Linked DNA regions of Nothobranchius furzeri. The protein of the gene in region 2 binds, or shares a complex with, the protein of the main gene of each other region. Links are inferred from orthologs where the notes say so. Each region holds a gene or a part of one and is shown on either strand. Other genes may lie near its edges.

Region 1 (10,424 bases), on a different chromosome or scaffold from region 2:
CGTGGCTCCGTCCTGGGACAAGGGGTGACGGTGGAGCCCGGCATCCTTCCCAACGCCGTGGGCCAACTCCGGGGGAGCACACAGCCAGTCTGGTGCCCACATAGCAGGAGCGGTCCATCTGCACCTCCCTGTCCAAGTCTCCATCCGCCTCTGAGAGGGTGGAGAGGATCGCTGAGGCCCAGGCTCTGTGGCGGCGTCCGCGGCGAGGCGATGCCGAAGGAAGAGAAGCCGGCCGGTGGTCCGCGGCGAGAAACTGGAGCAGGTTCTCCCAAGGGATAACCTCGCCGCTGGATCCTTCTGTGGGTTGGCTCATTCTGTCACAACGTGCCGGTGAGTGGAACGGAGGTGAGGATCCACATGCTGGGGAGGAATCAGGCAGGTAGACAAACTGGGTAACGTAAAAGGTTTTAATAACAAACGCACGCAGGACATGGGAACAATGAGCCAACAAGAGACACAAAACTGGAGGGGTTTAAATACAAGAGGGCTAGGAGCTTGGGTGATTGGAAAACGAGAGGCAGGTGGGAGCAATTAACAGAGACACATGGCTGAACAGGATGGGGAGACAGGACAGGGTGTGACTCTCTCTCTCTCTCTATATATATATATATATATGAAGATATATATATATATATATATATATATATATATATATATATATATATATATAGATATAGATATATATAGATATATATACATTTTTAGTTTATTGATGCTATGAATATCACAAAAACCCAAATACCAATCTGACCACTGCACTGACCTTTTGAGACCAGCTCACTTTGACATTTAAAGATCAATCAGACTGTGACGTTTGCAGGTGATACTGTGGCTTTGACCTGGAACAATGATGAGTCTAAGAGTAGGAGGGGAAGGAGTGTGCTGATTGGTGCACGGCAAACAGTTTCAGCATCAATTTGACAAAGACAAAACATAATAAATCTGTATCCAGCTGAGGGAAAGTTGTAGACACTAAAAAACTCAGAACACAGTAACAGTGACTGTTGCTGAAACAACCTCCACATTTGCAAAATCAAGCATTCATTTGGCGCCATCTTGTGGCTGAACTAAAACAAAGGCAGGAGGGAATCTACAGATGTTTTTCTGAGTCCAAAAAAATTTTTTTTTATTGTGTACCCTAACCCTTTAAAAAAGCAATCAGCAGAAACAAAAGGGTGTGAACCAAATAGATATTGAATAAATGTCCAGAAGGACATGAGCATAACTAAACTTTGTATTTAGTGTTGTAACGTGGTCTAATGTGTTTACTTATACACAACTGATAACTTAAACAAAAGTGCATCAGTTGCACTTAGATGAGTAGAAATAATCAATAAATATATACATGAGACAAAAAATGTGACACAAATTCATCAAGACCTTCAGATGTTTAAAATCCAAGCATACAGAAAGAATATTGTCCCTTTTTGCAATATAAATTATTTAAATGTAAAAACAAACAAGATTTATTCATTACTTTTATTATTTAAACAACATTAAATAAAACATGCCAATAAATTCATTTTTCATGTCTTTGTTTCCCAATATTTTACTGATTTTCCCTAGAAACTGTTTCAAGGACCCTTTAATGAAACTCTCAAATCCTAGAATTGACTTTAACCCCTTAAATATTAGGAGAAAACTCAAAAATATGTATATAAACAGAAGTGTTCTATAGGTCTGTAAAATTATAAATAATCAGAAATGTTCTCCTTTATGCTCCCTGTGAAGGCAGAGTCATCTTGTTCGGTGCAGTGTTGCTGTAGCTTTTGTAGAGTGGGAAAAATCTCACCACAGGTCAGTCCTCTGTCACTGGAGTCTGCTAGTGTGGAGGTGTAAAAATGAGATAGATGATGCTAACATGATAGGCAGTGTTAGGTTATTAGTTATCTGAAGTATTAACACCAGAGGACGTGCGAACGTCACTGCTGCTGCTGCGTTGATATTCACTAGTCTGGAGCGGGCCAAAACACGTCAATAACTTTAAAGTTTTAGCATATTTTATGCCCAAAGGCTTTTGTATATTTGGAATGCTCCCTTGATGAAATATCTACTTTGAAAATATTGCAAGTTACCCTGTTGTCTTGTTTTCTTGCAGGGCCGGATTTAGCCAGCCCTCCAAAGGGGTGCAGGTAGAATATCGGCAGGGGGGTGGGGTGGGGGGTGGGGGTGTCAGGTCTGGGAAATAATTTTTCGGGTGTCACGTACCTCCAGATCCCTAAAATGCATAAAAAACTGTGCTATCATCATTACAGTTCGTCTGTCCATATATCTATCTTTTCCTTTGATCCATTCCTTACACTACCCTCTGCATTTACCCGGGCTTGGGACCGGCACAAATGGGACACTGGCTTGTTCCCTATTGGGGCTGCATTAATCTTTTATCTATCTATCTATCTATCTATCTATCTATCTATCTATCTATCTATCTATCTATCTATCTATCTATCTATCTATCTATCTATCTATCTATCTATCTATCTATCTATCTATCTATCTATCTATCTATCTATCTATCTATCCATCCATCCATCCATCCATCCATCCATCCATCCATCCATCCATCCATCCATCCATCCATCCATCCATCCATCCATCCATCCATCCATCCATCCATCCATCCACCCACCCACCCACCCACCCGTCTGTCTGTCTGTCTGTTTGTCTGTCTGTCTGTCTGTCTGTCTGTCTGTCTGTCTGTCTATCTATCTATCTATCTATCTATCTATCTATCTATCTATCTATCTATCTGTCTGTCTGTCTGTCTGTCTGTCTGTCTGTCTGTCTGTCTGTCTGTCTGTCTTTTTTATTTTACTTGTACATATATATATATTGGGTCCATGTGGCAGGGGTGAGGAGTGAGCACCACCTCACCCCTGCCACATGGACCTCAAGGGATAAACCATCAATCCTGCTCAATGGTCAACTTTCCTTGCAGGGTCACCCATAAAGACAGTGGGAGGATTAAAGATTAATCAGAATCAGAATCAGATGAATTTTATTGCCAGCGCTCCTTTCAGAGCATAGGAACTTGACTCCATAGTACAACCTGACCAAGGTTACACACACACATATAGACAAGACAGATACAGGCACACCATGGGAGCAGCCATAACGGCGCTCCGTTGTAGATGAGTAAGGGAATACATGAGGGAAGTTCAGGGAGGGAGAAAAAAGGCATTAGCAGGGTTACACCAGCAGGGTGTAGCACTCCAATGCAAAAAAACACCCGACATGTAAGCAACAAACGTCACAGTTCACAACATGAGACCCGGTAGGTAGGGGGGAGGGGCTGGGATCCTGGTTTCCTCAGCGGGGGCTGCCTGTGTGGCGCTCAACCAGCTGGCTCCGCAGGTGGGAGGGAGGTCATGGGGAAGCACAGAGAGCAGTGAGTCCTTTAGCTTGATGACCTCTGTGGAGACCACAATCTGAAGGTGGGGGGGTGGGTGGATAGAGATTCACAGCATTTGTCTGCATTCCTTCCAGCGTGGAGGTTTTGCACGCAACTCCAAGGCTGCTTATGGCGTCAGATTCGATAACAGAACTTTGTTTGGGTCAGACAGAGATAATTTTTCCTCTCTGCCTTAAGTCTGTATTGATCATTCAAGTCCTCCAGTGAAGCCAATTCAGTGATTTAACATCTCCACACCATCCGGTGACCCTTTCCGAGATGTTATCAATCCTGCACGCTAACACCGGTAACGCAGCTAAGACATTGTCCAGCTTGCGATTCACCTCGAGCAACGTCCCAGTCTGTGAGGTATCCACACGGACGGTGCCGTCCATGGTTGCGGGTCGCCCTCCAATCGCTCCCGTCATCCCAATTTTACGGAAAGCCAGATATCCTCCCACTCTAATCAGAAGAAATCCAATGATCATCAGGCCAAATATCCACATATCTTCGACGCCCTCAATGGACAGCTGAGAGAGACAGATGATATTCCACTTTTTCCAGGAATCAAACATATATCCCGCTGCATGTGTCCCCTGAGGACAAGCGTGAGCCCCCTCCTCCGTCCTCATTGTAGAAGAAATCTTATCAATTGCGTTGAATGACCAATTAATTAAGTCCATGTTGAAAAATGCTGAAAAAGGTGATTGCAGAGGAAATGCAGAGAAGCGCTCTGTAGGCAGACGGGACAAAAAGAGCCTTGGGAAAACACAGATAAGGGAGGAAAAGGCAGAAGGGTCTGCTCCCTGTGAGCGCCGGAAGAGATATTTAAAAGATATTTATTTTATTTTATTTTATTTTATTTTATTTTATTTTATTTATCCACCCATTTTGGAACTGGCTCTATTGTTGCCAGCTGCTAGCTACTCAGCGTAGTCGTAACAAATCTCTCTTTCTCCCAGCTGAGGTTGTTCAAAGAGGTATATAGGACAGATAATATTGAAACTGTTGAGAAAAATCCACTTCTAAATATCTAAACTCCCTCTTTAAAACTCTTTGGGCAAACAGCCCTTAGATGAATAACAAAAAGCAGCTTATAAATAAATGAGGTGTTGTCCATGAGTAAGACACTCATTCATTTGCTCAGGTGGAACAGCTCCCCATCACATCCACATCGTGTTTACTATGAATGATAACAGCCTCGCCACACCTCCTTCCCAAGAAGCCATTTTGTTGACACAGTCTTGCAGTCAACATTAAAACTCCTTTTTAGGAGCTTCAAACGAAATCGTGACCATCAAATGTCCCATCTGTGCAAGAATAGCGCGTTTTCTCCCAGTAACAGCGCATAGGGAATACAAGAGCGGTGTTCCGGGCTGGAAAACGGTGGGTTTGGAGTGCATGGCCACCCATTTTAACATGAGGCTCACCGCTGCTGACGTCACCGAGCCGTCTTTGTCCACCTAATCCAGGCGGCTGTGTATTACCCCTTCATTACCACACAGACCCAGGCTCCGGACATAGCCTGCAGGTAACGCTTCGCCATAGAATTAGGGATAGATAATAACAAATAATAAAATAATTATTGTAGCGAGGAGACAAACCAGTGCTCCTCCTCGGACATATAGACAGGGAACGCCACAATAACCAACCAAAGGCTGCCAGAGGCTAGAGAGGAGCGCAGAATCCATCCATCTGTCAGCCACTTAGGACCAGATCACCTTTCCAGTCCGGATTTCACTGCAGCTGTCTAGCTAATAACACCAGGAAAATGTAAGTAGCAACATTTTAATCTTTATTTAAAAAATAAATAAATAAGCTGATAACTGCTTTATGTGGTTTGGGGGATTTCCTGCTGTCTTCTGTTTCGCGCAGCCTTAACATTTCCCAGCTTTGATCTAAATCATCCTTAAACGCCGTATTTTATTTTATTTGCGTCGCTTGTTTTTCTCTGAGCCTGAATATAGCGGCCAACGCATCGGCCTAACCTTGGAGGAGCAGAAAGAGAAGCACCGGCTCTTATCTCGATTATAAAACACCATCTCATTTATTTATTCAGTCTGTTTATTTTCCATTTTACACAGAACGCTCTGTGTTTACCGCCTGCTTCTTTTCAGTCCGTTTTCCTAGTGCGCACGCACGCACGCGCATATATTTTTTCCAGTTTGAACTGGTTTGAAAAGAAAAAAGATATCACACGCACGGACACACACATTTATTACATGTATTGCAGGCGAATTAAAAGTCCAATAAGAAAATGAATGAACTATCAACTATGTTTGAACTTTATTATTTGTGTTTGCTTTTATTGCCACCGACCGACCAGCTGGTGACGATTAAGCGGATTTTAGAAACAGCAAGGACACAGTGCTCAACAAACCAGAACTGGAGCTTCATTTTAATTTGCTAGCCTTCTCCTGAAATAAAAAAATAACAAACAAACGGAGAAATTATCGACTAATAGTCAATAAACGTGACTGATGGTAATATTAGCTCAGGCCTAGTTTTTGTGCTATTTCCACCCTACAGCGGGGGGTGGGGATAGCCTAGCCTCCTACTGTATGTCGTCGATTGTCACGAGAGGGCGGTCGGGTCCAAATTTCAGACTGGCTATGACCTTTTGGTATAACTAGCCCCTTTAAATACATTTCTGAAGGCATTTTGTGTGTTTCATATGTTTTAACTCGATCATTTAGTAGACACTAAAGCTAAAGTGAGGGTTTCTGTGACACCTCCTTCCACCAGTCTCCCTGCACATCAATGACGTTTAACCAGCCTGATGCTAGCACACTAGTTTCTACTGTCCATGGCGTCTTCCTCTGTGAGCTACCAGCTAGCAGGAGACTCCACACCCTCATTCTGACTCAGTTTGTGCTCCATGTCAGCCACCATGTTTTAAAGGACATTAAAGTGGAACCTGTTATGTTAGTGAAGTCAAGAAACATCGACCAGGACCGGGCTGGCTGAGGGTCGGATGAGACAGAATGATGCTGACGAACTGTCCAGTGCTGAAATGTCGCTGTCCAGTGCTGAAATCCAGTAACGACAGAGATATTCTCCAAGGGTGGGAGTTATACAGTGATAACATTAATATTCGACATTTCATTATTATTATTACAGACATTTTGTTCTTATTAGGGTGAATTACCGTAATGTTTCAGTGTGTTATAATCAAAAAGCATAAATAGGGAGCCTAAGTCTCCTCCCCTTCCAGTTGGCTAATGGATCCCCAGAAGAACGACAAAATGAATACAAGTCAACGGGGCTGAAAGAGCTATTTTCTGATCCATTTAGCCTTACGCCCTGGAATATGTTGTACTTCAATTTTAATGAAAAAATAAATGATATGATTCAACCATGCCAATCACGTACTTTGAGATTTATCAGCTTGTAAATGATCATAATTAGCATGGCAACAAATCGGATGTTGGGTACATTTATGAGTGTCCCCTAGAGTCTGTTAGTAAAACCAAAGGTGAAACTTATCTCCTCGCTGCGTGTTCATCTTTTTAACACCTTAATCTAACAGCTGAAATGTCTCATCAGCCTTCATTAGGCTCTACAGGAGTGGTTCATCACTAAATGAAATAAATCAGCTTTGTTCACGATCTAAAACATGAAGGAAGCATACTGGAAGCAGACTGAAGGCCAGGCATGTCAGCTCCACTTTACTAAGTCCAACCAGTCTGCCACTCTGAAGCTGTAAATGCGGTATTTTGGTGACAGAGGGTGGTGGGGTCTCAGTGACATTTAATTAACCATGTAAAGAGTCATTTCAGTACATACTGCCTCAATAAAGGGATTTAAAATATGAACAAGTTGTATAGTATGAATTTAATACGTTTTAAATAAATATGGTTAAGTCTACATCACGCATCAAGCAGTTTAAATTAAAAAAATGCAAAAACACTTTAAGAACAAATGTCTAAACCTGAGTTAGTTTTATATTTTTAACACTTGCAGATTGACAATGTTTCTCCTCAGTGAACAAGTTAAGGGTGGGGGTCCTAGTGAACTTTTCTGTCTTTTTAAAAATTCACCTGCTTTTCTTGGCAGACAAAGGACATAAATTACAGCTTTGTCTTGAAAGAAGGTTGAATATTTTTAGCTTTCACAGCCAATCTTACATCAGAAGTAGACTGTACAGGGAGTCATGTGAAACCTCACCTTCCCAGTAGGTCACGTTATCTGCCGTTGTCAGATAAGGTTTCCTCTTTCTTGTCCTGTTTTTGTTTTGTTCTGTTTAATTTAAAGAATACAATTAAGATGGGTGTTCTGTTTTCTTTCTTTTCATCACAATCATGGAAGCCTCAAATGAGTTTATCGTCTTTTAACAAACCAAAGACTTTGTGGCAGAGATCAGAGACAGCTGCACCTGGCTGGATGGAACACAGTAGGTGGTTTTTACAGGATGTGGAAACTGATGAGAAGCCTTGTCACTGCATTAGCAGTTCTGCCTGGTGTTAGCTGAGAGGCGATGACAGCGAGAACCTCTACACGCATTGCACCTTTGTTGTGGTGCTTATTGCACAGCAGCTATACAGATGCTACTTTTTAAATATTGAACTAAATTAATAAAAGTAAATTGTGAGGCTAAACAATAAAAGTGACATTTGCTTCACGAAAGAAAACAATATATTTTCTAACCTTTAAAAAAATGATGGTAATAAGATGTAACAGATTTTTTAAAAGTGATCAGACATTTCCCTTTGTGTCTGTTGGGTTTTTGTGCTGCTTTGGATGCAAAATGTTGCACTTTTTTTTTTGGTCAAAATGTTGTAATTCACCTAAGAACCTTTTAGATAAATACAACTTAGACAAACTTGTTTTGTTCACTTTTTACAGCTCAGTCTTTTGACTATTATGTGTCCACTTGTTGACCAAAATCAGACACAAAACAAGCTTAACCCTTCCACTTTCCTATCAGGTGACCCCACCAGGATAGGGGGTGGCTAAGCAGGGTTTAACGTTTATGCCTTGCCAGGGGTGAAGTGATGCACCCCTTAAAAATATTAAAATTAAAAATCAAAATACACCAGATGTCCATCTGACCCCATTAACAATGCGGGAGGGTTATAGGGAAACTTGGCAGTTTTGGCTATCTTTTAGCACCCCCTATTGTCCAGTTAGTTAAACCAAAAGTAAAACATATCTCCTTGCTGTGCGTTCATCTTTTTAACATGATGAAATGTCTCCTCAGCCTTCATTATGTTCAGGAGCGATTCATCACTGAATCAAACAAATCAGCTGTGTTCACAATCTAAAGCATGCTAGTAGCAGACTGCAGTGCCAGGCATGTCAGCTCCACTTAACTAAGCTCACCAGGGTGCAGCCTGCCACTCTGAAGTTGCAAGTGCGATATTCTGGCTGCAGAGGATGGTAGGGTGTGAGTGACATTTCGTTAATCCTGAAAAGGGTCATTTAGCACATTCTGGCTCAAGAAAATTATTTAAATAAATGAAAAAGTTGCTAAGTATGGCTTTAAGTCAACAAAAGTGCAGATAAGACTGTTATTAGCTTTATAAAAGCATCATAATAGCAAAAAATGGTCCTTGCTTGTAATAGAATGTGTATTTATTACGAACAGAAGATACCTTTTACTGACTTTCTGCTATAATAGTTTAACTACTACTAACATTTTGAATGCATATGAAACATGGCAAACAAAGGCATTCTTACATTTTTGGCTTTATAAATGTAAAGTCTGTCACTAAATGGTAATAAGATTACAGCTGAGACTGCTTCATTTTAGAACGTTGTTGTTTTGCATAACACAAAGAAGCTGTGCCATCCAACACTTGGTGAAAAAGCACAGTAATTTACCTGAAAATGTATACAAATACAAAATAAATTAAACCAGCTATTTAATAAATAGTTTTAAAATTGCTTTATCTTTTTTGTCCTCTTGATAACTTGAGTGCATGCTAACATGGGTTGCAACTTTCGTGACACACTGAATTTTCAGTGATAAAATGGTAAAATGCAGGAACTCGGTTAACTTCAGTTTTCCAAACGGCTGATTGTTTTGTAATATGAATGCCTTTTAATGCAAGTTCCATAAAAAACGATTCCACAAAATCACCAAACTCAACCACATTACGTCCTTTGGAGGTCTTTATCTGTATATGTATTTTTTTTATTTTTTACTTCACTATCAGTTTCAGGAATCAGATATAAACTTGGTCATAGAAAAATAAAAAAACATCTATAGTTGGAATTTTTAAAGTGACTGCAGACCAGTTTATGTTAGCAGGCAGCAAAGTTCAGCTGTTAGTTTGTGAACCATGAGGGTGTAAATTATGATACCACAATCATTTCTAAGACTGTCGTCAGGGGTGAAGCATTACAAAGGGAGTGAGTTACAGAAATAAGGATGTAATAAAATATCAATAAACTTAAAAAACATGTTTCCTGTTATGATACTGGACTGATATATAAAAGCAGTGTATTGATTAATTTATTCAGAATTTACATGCAAACATTTACTGTATTTCTTTCATGCGGTGCAATTCTTATTCTGACCGCTAGATGGCAGCAGTTTTTGTGGCTTACATGCTGACGGAACATGATTTGGCAGTAAAACCAAGTTATGTTTTAACTTATATATATATATATATATATATATATATATATATGTGTGTGTGTGTGTGTGTGTGTGTGTGTGTGTGTGTGTGTGTGTGTGTGTGTGTGTGTGTGTATTTCGTATTGTCTCCAGATTCTTGCCAATAAAATGTCTGTAACACAAGTTACAAGCGTAATTTCAATGGTGTGAATTATTAAAACATGACAATCTCCACCCAAATAAGATCGAAAACTAAAATGCAATTGTGATTATTGGCTCAACCTTGTTTTAAAGCAAAGCTATCAGCCATCTAACAGGAAAATGACGTAGAGGTGAAAGGTGTGGTTTTATGAGCTGCCTCTGTAATGTTTGCTTCATGTCATACTCATGTCTGCACATCAGGGTAACACCACAATCCTCTCATTTTCCAAACCTAGGCAGTTTATTTTGGATCAGTTCTGTTTTATAAAC
Region 2 (9,932 bases):
TCTGGTGATCTGAGCTTCAGCCCCAATGAAGAGAAGCTCCCAGAGCTCTGCATCGCTCCAATTTACCATCTCCGCTGATTCTGTTTAGAAAAGCAAAACTTACCCTGGCTTCACACTTCAAACGGCAGCGGAGGGGTTTACTCACGGATTTCAAAGCTGTCCTTTTCACACTGGGAGAGTTTTGGCCGCAGCCCGGCTTCCTCACTGTGCTCTTTCCTGGACTCGCGAGATCACACAATCCCTCAAGACTTCCAAGTTCACGGCTTGTTTATGCAATCCGCCATTAAACCAAAAAGAAGGAAATCACGTTTGATATCGCTGCTTGACGTCATATATGATGTTGTTTCTTTCCACCGCCAGGATTAAAGCCATGAAAAACACACCACTACACTTCTGGAATGATGCTGTGACTAAATAGGCCGTTGGGTCACACTGCAGTACTTTTATTTAAAAAATTACTGGGCATTTTACACTGAAACCGTGTGTGATTTCCTGTCTAACCCTAAACTGACATGTCCGAGAAGCGGCTTGCTGCAAAAATAGAGGCTGATCATTTGTTCAGCGGGTGCGGTGCACCGCTTCTTAGACTCGTCTGAAAATTGCTATGGCGCGGTTGTTTTTGAAACACTCCATAGACTATAATGGATTCTATTTGAAGCAGCGACGCTCCGTACCGCTGATGCTTCATTGTGAAACTGGGGTGATTGTCTATTTTTACTTTCATTTTCAATATATACAATACTTGTGATCATGACATCACCTTCTGTTGTGCCAAGGCATAATCTTCGTTCACGAGTAAGGCGTTGTGTTAATACTACTACCGAACATGGCAACGTGAAAGCCGCAAAACTGTCACATCGCCATGTTGCCACACTGATTTCATAAGACACACTGTGGCAGCAGTATTATGCTGATTTGCCAGCACAATGTCTTTTGAAAATGGCTAAAACAACTGCATAACGTGACAAGATGTGTGACACGGTCAAGATGTTGGTGGCCAAAGCCGCTTATTGGGCTTTAATTCAGCTCTTCAGAAATCTATAGGTCACATGACGGAGGGTTTGTCCAGTATGTTTAGTCATTGGTTGGCGCAAATCATAAGTGGCTGTTGCACTGCCTTTGCTGTCTGGTTTAATACGTTAAAACTTTAGACATTTCCACTCTCTTGACATTAAAGGTGCTTTTATAAGACACGCCATGCCGGTAAATCGGCATAATATTACTGCAATGGTATGTCTATAAACGCGCCATGCCAGCATGGCGTTGCGCGAATTTTGCGGCATTCGTTCCGCCTCGCTTGGTAGAAATATTGCCGCACGAGCCCCTCACCTCTGACAGCTAAACGCGTGTCAGCCCCGCTAATCCATTTGGAGCGACTGTGGATGGCCCACCCCGCAAAAGAGGATGGTCGCGTTAGTGATGTATACTGCGCGCAGAGTGCCGGCCGGGAGGGATATAAACACAGATAAACATGGCCTCTCACTAGTATCTTTCAACCACCTACAACATGGCAAACTGGACAGACGCGGAGACCACGGAGCTTTTGGCCGTGCGAGCAGACGAAAAGATTAGTCGCCTTTTTACGGGGACGGTGAGAGACAGCCAGGTGTTCGACAGAGAGGTGAAAACACCGGCTGAGCGGGGCAACAAGCGGGACAAAAAACAGGTCACATCAAAGCTAAAGGTCCTGAAAAAGAAATTCCATCAATCTGACGTGTCTTCCGTCTGACGCTGAATGCGCGACCCTGTACGTCACATGCGGGGGGGCCGCCCAGCGACCTCCCTCTATCCCGTCTTGGTTTGAGAGGTGCCAGATGGCCGTTTATTCTAGCTTCAGCTTTACTACGATAAATGCCAAAATAAACCCCAGGGTGCGCGGCAAATCCCGTTTTGCAAACGCTACGGTCCTGTAAAAACAGCTTAAGCGTGTCTGCTAACAGCTTAATGTTATGGTGTGTTACTTACCTGCACGCTGCTAATTATGTGACCTTGTGGTGTTGTCATCTATGCAACGATGAATACTGATGCCATGAAACTTGTTAAAATGAAAACTAAGCCATTGTCTTTACATTTCAATAACTCAGGATGATTTTAAAAGACCATGCTTGTTGTTTTAGAAGGTTATATCCGATCTTTTCCACCCGATTCCAATCATTTGAAAATCACATAATCAGATCGAAGGATCTCTACTCTTAACAGATGATTAATTGTTCCTAAACCTTCAAAGAAAATCAAAGTTGGTAGCTTGTTGTTATCTATACATTTGCTTTATGCTTTCAACCATTTCCTAGAGGTACTCAACCACAAACCCTAATGTGTCGCATGAGTGGGGCGCAGAGGTCTGGGGGCGGGGGTGGGTGTATACGTGCTGTGCTAAGCTCTCCCTCCCATTTGAGTGAACCTTCGTAGTACACCACTCTAGCTTAAAGAACAGCAGTTCAAGCTGCAGGCCGCCTCCTGTTGGGTAACTCTGAAACAAAGTAGGCTCACCACAGGACGCTGACTTGGTCTCCACCAGCTTCACCCTTCGTGTTTCATTTCGAATCCTGCTGTCCGTCGTGTCGACGAGCTGTGCGAGGTCATCGATGATTTCTGAGACAGACAGGAAAAGAAGACGTTTAAATTAATTAATTAGTTTCTGAATAACCATTTTTATACTTGGTGTTGTAAAAGTCGGCTAATTCAAAGGGCAGAGGTTATAAACGCACAGTAGAGGATTGTGTGCAAGTAATCATCCACCCTTTTGCAAGACTAGGCTTTAAAAAAATAGTTTTCAGGGTATCTGCAGGTTTAAGGGAGCCAAATTTAAGACTTTTTAAGATCTTTTTAAGGCCACTTTGACCAAATTTAAGCAATTTTTTAAATTAAATTTAAGCTATATTTTCCAGCTATTGGCTGGAACCGGTGCTAACCACGTCGCGAACGTGGGATTAGCCATCCAGTTACCATTAAATTTGCACTTCCCCATGGCGCAAGCTCCCACTAGCTTAACCAGCTAATGTGCTCATTTAAAAATAGCCCCCTTTCACAACCAACTGAATGTGTACGGTTCCGCTTACGCCAACATCATACACAAAAAATGCTGAACACTCGAAATTCACGAAAATTTCATAGAAATATTGGGTCGTTGGTAATTTAAGACCTTTGGAAACTGTATTTAAGGATTATTTGTCATTTTTAAGGATTTTCAAGGCCTTAAATTTGGAAAAGCTAATTTAAGACTTTTTAAGACTTATTAAAGACCCGCGGATACCCTGTTGATATTTATGTTTCTATTTTTCTGTATGTGTGTGTGTGTGTGTTCATATGTGTGTGTATTTGTGTACACATGTTTGGCCAGGGTCTCTAGAGCAGAACTTTAAGTCTTGAAGGTTGTCCAGATGAAGCCGCGTGATTTGCTTGGCTTGTGTTATCGTGGCATCTCCAGAGGTCTGGAGCCAGAAATAAAATCAGACAACTGCTGGAGGACGACCAAATTCTGACTATGGTATTGTTTTTAAAGAATGCCATTGTTTACGGATAATGCCAACCCATTTCACCCATGACTGCCGTATAAAATGGCTGATTTGACCACAAATTTAACCACATTTTTTACAAATCTGCTCAGAAGTATTAAGACGGGCGTATCAAAACAAAATTCTGCTAAAAACAACATCTTTTCCTGTAAAGGCCATCCATCAGTCTCTCTCAAGAGCCCAACTGTCACACTGACAGAAAACTATGAATAAACAGATGAAGAAACATGTGAGCAATTACATCCAGAGCAGCATGCCTCATTACTCCTGTTATAAATCAAGAGAGTCACTACAGAACACAGCTCCAGTGTAAAAAGTCTGTTTTTTATCTTAACTTTAGCAGTGATGACAGGTAATATCCAGTAGCCTTATAAAATAAAAAAGAAAAAGCAAAAATAAGACAAAGTTGCTAGCTTCTATATTCAGTTTCACAACAAAATCAGTGTGGTGACTTTTTAAAAATACATTTAAATGAGTGAAACTAGAACATATATACTTCTTAAGCCCTGGAATAATGGTTTATAGTTGCTTTAGATGGCAAAAGGGTCAAATAATCTGAATGAGTCATGGATTTGTTCTTCTAAATTTGTGCTAAATCACTAAATTCCCACAACTGTACTCAGCATCGTACTTGTCTCAGTGTCAAGAAAACACCTGAATAAGAGCGAGTCATCCCCCGTTGGTAAGACAGTTTGTGTTTAGACTGAAATGGACTAATTAAGATGCATGAATTCAAGGAAGGAAAGCAAAGCGTGTCTGTCTGGGGATGAAAAGCGTTGAAACAAGAAGACATGAGAGAGCCGTAAGCATGGCGCCCCTGGAGACTCCCACATCATCATCTGAGCATCAGGCAACAATTTAGAGTGAAGAAACTCTTCCTTTACTGTCAGGCAAAGGGTGTAGACACTGAGCCATTTCTGCCGCATGCCACTCCAACGAGTCATAAAGCATGATGCTAGTCAGCCGCTGCCAAGTTCCCTGATTCAGCTTTGGCCCAAATGAAACATCTCAATTCATTGATGAATTTCCAGCTGTGCCAAAACGCACTGGAGCTCGGACACAACCTCCAACAACAGCTGCAATGAAACTATTAATTTTTCACATCGAACATTTTGTTTGAAAATTTTTGATAATTATTAAGTTGTGTTCAACAAAATCCTAAAGTTTCCTTAAGGTGTCTTTTTCTTCCATCAATGGGCTTCTGGTGTTGCCTCTGATCTTCTGAAGCTCAAAGAAAAACATGTTTCAGGCTCAGCTTGATGAAAAATTCTACCACAGCTTAAAAAAATGAGTGTATGTGTTTAAGTTATCTTTTTTGATATCTTTATAACTTTGTCAAAAATACATTGCTATGAAAGGTGCACATCAAATGCTAAATGTGACCTAAAAATGTCTAAAATACATTAAAAGGTGAATTTTACTAGTGTTTATGGTCTTTTTGACATTTTCATAATCCTTCCACTAGCACCTATTTGGAACGTCAGAGTCAGAATCAGAAGGGGGTTTATTGCCATACATGTGAGAAATAACAACATTTGGAAATTGCAGCAGTACTTGGTGCAAAAAAAAAAAAAGAGATAAGCAAAATGATTCATATAGAGAAGCAATAATCAGAGGAACAACAAATATGTATAAGACAGTTGGTCACAAGTTCGCCTGCTCAGCCTCCCCACACCAAGAGGCCATTATGATCTACATGTTTTGAAGCCAAGGAGCAGCCTGGCCTGCCAGACTCATCCTCTGTTTAACTCTGCACAGAGAGAGTCTGGTAACACAGGCAGAGAGGCGCATGAGGGGCGGGACTAGGCAGCTCAAAAGTAACCAATCAGAAAAAAACTGAAATGCCGACTGTGCCGCGCAATGCTGTAGTTGTTTAACCCCCAAATTCCACTACCTCCGCTCCGACACGAACGCCGGAGCAAAATCGGTCCCGTTGTTGTCAATCAGAGCAATTCCACTACTGCGGCCGTGCTCCGGCAGCGCGGCGCAGTGCCCCGCCCTCTGTTCCGGCGTCCGGCAAAAATAGAATCAATCCTATTTTTGCCGGACGCCGGAGCACCTCCGCAGTAAATGGACAGAAATCACAACCGCCCAACAGGAAAAGGAGCAAGCACAACTTCCGTTTTTCACAATAAATCGATAAACAAAAGGCGTTTTTTTGTTTCATATGCACAGGTTTAACAACTTTTAACAACTATCAATGGCGGCTGAACTTTAAATGCACAAAAATAAGCCATAAATACACTTTCTACTATCAAAGTAGTCACACTCAGTTGATCCAAACACTGCCGATCTCTCAACACAAATGATGGGCAGATTAAACAGTTCATGCCGATGCTTCTCCCACACAACGGGTGTTTGGATCTAACTTCCGCGTTTATTGCTCGGACTGTATCGCAAGATCTCGAAAATCCCGCGCATGCTTGTTTGCCCACCTCAGGTCTCCGCACCGGAGCGGAGCCGTTGTAGAGCGGGTACCAGTAAAAATTGAGTTCGGAAGCGAGCGGCTGTGGAAGGCGGGGGCGGACCGGAGCGGAGCGGAGCGGAGCGGAACGGAGGTAGTGGAATTTGGGGGTAACTGTAATGAAAAAGGCATCTGGCAACGGTGCAAACATCTTTTTTTTTTCAGAAGAAAGGCTTTTAGCGCTTCTACTTGTTGTTATTTTAAAGACATTCAAGTCATTTAGAACAGAGGAAAGAGCCACAGCAAACTCCGCTTCCGTCGCCATATTTATGAGAAACTCGGCGTTATGCCGTGTGATGTACGCTACTAAGTGCTGATTGGCTCGGTTAGAATTCTCACAGGGTGGGGTTATTTGAATAGGAGAGCTCCCAGACCCTTTCTCTGTGCAGAATTAAACAGAGGAAGATTTGGCAGGCCAGGCTGAAGGAGTGGCTAAGATTGCAGTTCCACCCTCATCCGCTAGGGGCAAATCATCATTGACTCCCATGTTAAAAATGTCCGTTTTACAGCTGAAATAAACATGTTTACAGCCTGGTTCAACATTTTAGGTTTAATAGATCTAGTTTATATTCGTGACAACTGTGATGGGGGTGAATTTTCTTTAACTTTTCTGTTTAAGTGTATTTAAATGCTTAAAATTCTGAATAATTAATGAGCATCAGAGCCATGTGTATTCAGAGCTAGCTCCGGGGAAAGGCCTCAGCCTGACATTAATAGATGTTCAGCCATTTTGACTCTCTGAACTTCATTTTTGTCTGTTTGTGTTTGTCCATATTATTCTATGATTAAAAACCAAAGAGGGCAAGCTGTGGTTATTGACTGCACTAACATATCATCCAAGCAGTTTCTGCTTCTTCTTTATCAGTAAGTAAAATTATATTTCTGGTTCGTTGGTTGAATGGGGGAAATGCTGTGTCATTTAACTGCTTGGTCAAACATGTTAGTCTGGCTGCTGGCTGGATAAGAAACTTGAGCGGATGCCAGTCTTCTGTCTCCCGCCCGAGAAGAGTTGCTAGAACAGGCGGCTGGCTGCTCCCATTTCCAGGGGCAGCCAATGAACGGACTGGCTCCAATGCGAGGCTGTAGTCAGGCTGGTCACTTGTGGATTTCTGAGGGAGATCACAGAAACACTGCAGCTCTTTTAGTTGATGCTGCTTCACTTTTGAGTCACTCAACCACATTTTTCTCGCTAATTGTTTGCTGGTTGAATGGTGAAAATTCTACCTTAACAATGCTTGGTCTAAGATGGGTTGAAATCGAATGAAATATAATGTGTTGGTGTGGTTGCTGGGTATCTGACCGAGGATAGCAAAGGCTATCGGGCTTCGCTGGTCAACCTTTGTGAAAGACACGCGAGTCTGCCATTTTCGACGCTCTCGTCTCTGGTGGGGAGCACGACACGGAGCCATAAGCAGAGTCAATGCTCCCAGAGAACCGTGCGTTAAGAACGGTGGACTCACGAATCTTTGACTGCGGTGGACCAGCAAAACCCAATGTCCTCGGTCAGCTTACCCAACTGTAATTTTGTTACTCAGCAAGCTGGAGGTGCCTTCATGTTGGAGTCGCTCTACTGCGTTTTTCTTGCTAAAAAGGCTCAGTAAAACTCAGTTAGCTTCAGGGTAGCATGTAGCTAATTTCCCACTCATTTCCAACTGTGGAGAATGAGCTGATACAAAAGGCCAAGGCTTCCGGTCGCAGCGGTCTGGCTCTGCTTGTAATTCAACAGTCCCAGTCCATATTAGATATCCACAGGCGACCAGCAAGACTACAGCCTTGTACAGGAACCTGTCGGCCGTGCGAGTGGGCTTCTCCAGGGTCCCCGAAGCCCTTCTTAGCTTCTCGGGTTAACTAACATTGCTAGCAGGTTGAGATCAGTGGACTCAGTGGTCTCCTTTAAAAAGTAGTTGAAGACTCACTTGTTCAAGCTGGCTTTTGTATGACCTTCTTCAACCCCTCTCTCTTTATTCTGCTCTCCCCACCTATTCCACCTTCCTCAGGATCCACTGATTTCCCTCTTTCCTATTCACGCTCTCTCTTTCTTAACATTTTTTTTCTTTTAAATCCCAATTGCCTATTTTTGCTCATTTTAAATATATTTTTTAACATTTTCTAAATGCTTTTTTATATTTTTACATTTTTTGTTTTGTTTTTGTGAAGTGCCTCGTGAGTTTTATCTTGAGAGGCGCTATAGAAATGATATTTTCTTCTTCTTCTTCTTCTAGCAACTACATTGGTTTCATTTGTTCCAATCCTTTTCCAAATGTAACAGCCCCACCCTCAGCTCCACCTCTTTTCCCATTTTTGTATTGTCTGGGTGTGACTCGGTCAAAAAAAATCAGTGGTGGGAACCTCCCATTTTTGGCTTCAACCTGCGCCTTGGCGAAGCAATGGGCAGCCTATGTCCATATTTTTATTTGTCAATGCCCCAGACCCATGATACCTCCACCGGGAACTGCAACACCCAGCATTCCCCTTTCCCCGATCTTCCTGTCCTACTTTCAGGCAGAAGCCATCTGGCTCTCCACTTGATGTTCTGCCGCCTCATCTCTGGAAGGCTGCCTTTCCGTGTCTTGGCCCTTCACTTGGTCAGATTATCAATGGGAGCCTCAGCACAGGTGTGGTCCCAGCTGCTTTGAAAGCAGCAGTTGTACAGCCAACCCTGAAGAAACCTGGTGCTGATGTCTCTGTGATCGAAAATTACAGGCCTATCTCTACCCTGCCTTTTACATCAAAACTGCTTGAGAAAGTCGTTTATCAGCAGCTGGTCTCACATTTAGCTGACTCTGATCTGTTTGAGGTTTTCCAATCAGGGTTCAGGTCTGGCCATAGCACAGTCGGCTCTACTGAGGGTCCTAAATGACATCTATCTATCACTAGATCAGGGTACATCTGTGGTGCTTCTGTTGTTAGATCTGATGGCAGCATTTGACACAGTCGACCATGCGATTCTACTCGATCGCTTGGAACGATGGGTTGGGATCAAAGGGTCTGCTCTGGATTGGTTTAGATTGTATCTCCACAACAGGACATTCTGTGTTAAACTGGGTGATGTTTTTCTTCATGGGAGGGGCTCCGCTGGGTGGTCCCGCAGGGATTGATCCTTGGTCCTCTTTTGTTTGCAATTTATCTGCTTCCTCTGGGGTCAATCTTTCGTAAGCATGGCCTATCGTTCCATCTCTATGCTGACGATTGCCAGATTTACTCTCCATTGTGTCAGGAGAAAGGACACTCTATCCAGTCCTTTGTGTCCTGTCTTAACGAGGTAAAGTCTTGGTTAATGGCCAACTTTCTGCATCTGAATGAGCGAAAGACAGAGCTCATTGTTTCTCACCCCAACAGCAGGGCTGTGGGTCGTTATGTTGATCTTGGCCCTCTTTCTCCCTACTCCAAACCAGTTGTCACCAGTCTGGGCGTGAAAATTGACGCTGGACTTAAATTTGATGCTCACATCAACTCTGTGATCCAGTCCAGTTTCTTTCACTTGAGACGCCTTGCAAAAATCAAGCCTATGCTGTCAAGAGCCCACCTGGAGCGGGTACTCCATGCTTTTGTAATTTCTAGACTTGATTACTGCAACTCTCTATATGCAGGGTTGTGTCAGTCATGACTGCGTCGCCTACAAGTTGTGCAGAACAGCGCAGCCAGGTTCCTGACTGGAACCAGGAAACGGGACCACATCAGTCCGGTTCTGGCCTCCCTGCACTGGCTTCCGGTTTGCTATCGCTCACAATTCAAAATCCTCGTCTTTGTTTATCATTTCTTCCAGGGTGGTGGTCCCCCCTATCTAGCCACACTCCTGAACAGGCATTCCCCATCACGCGCTCTGCGCTCCTCTGACCAGGGCCTGCTCGCTGTCCCTCGTTCTAGGAGTCGTACTCGCGGGGACCAGGCTTTCTCAGTCCTAGCACCGTCACTCTGGAACCAGTTGCCACCCTCAGTCAGGCTGTCCCCAT

What was found.
Region 1: stx8 (region 2) and vamp2 share a complex: the UniProt entries of both Homo sapiens proteins name them as parts of the SNARE core complex. The link is inferred for Nothobranchius furzeri from reciprocal best matches to the Homo sapiens genes STX8 and VAMP2.

What each region holds. Positions count from the first base shown.
Region 1 is NC_091750.1:51,654,639-51,665,062, reverse strand, and holds the start of vamp2 (vesicle-associated membrane protein 2), read left to right. Parts: upstream 1-4,959; 5' UTR 4,960-5,162; coding exon 5,163-5,164; intron 5,165-10,424. UniProt on the Homo sapiens protein: Involved in the targeting and/or fusion of transport vesicles to their target membrane. Major SNARE protein of synaptic vesicles which mediates fusion of synaptic vesicles to release neurotransmitters.
Region 2 is NC_091747.1:69,831,540-69,841,471, forward strand, and holds part of stx8 (syntaxin-8), read right to left. Parts: intron 2,593-9,932; coding exon 2,491-2,592; intron 1-2,490. UniProt on the Homo sapiens protein: Vesicle trafficking protein that functions in the early secretory pathway, possibly by mediating retrograde transport from cis-Golgi membranes to the ER.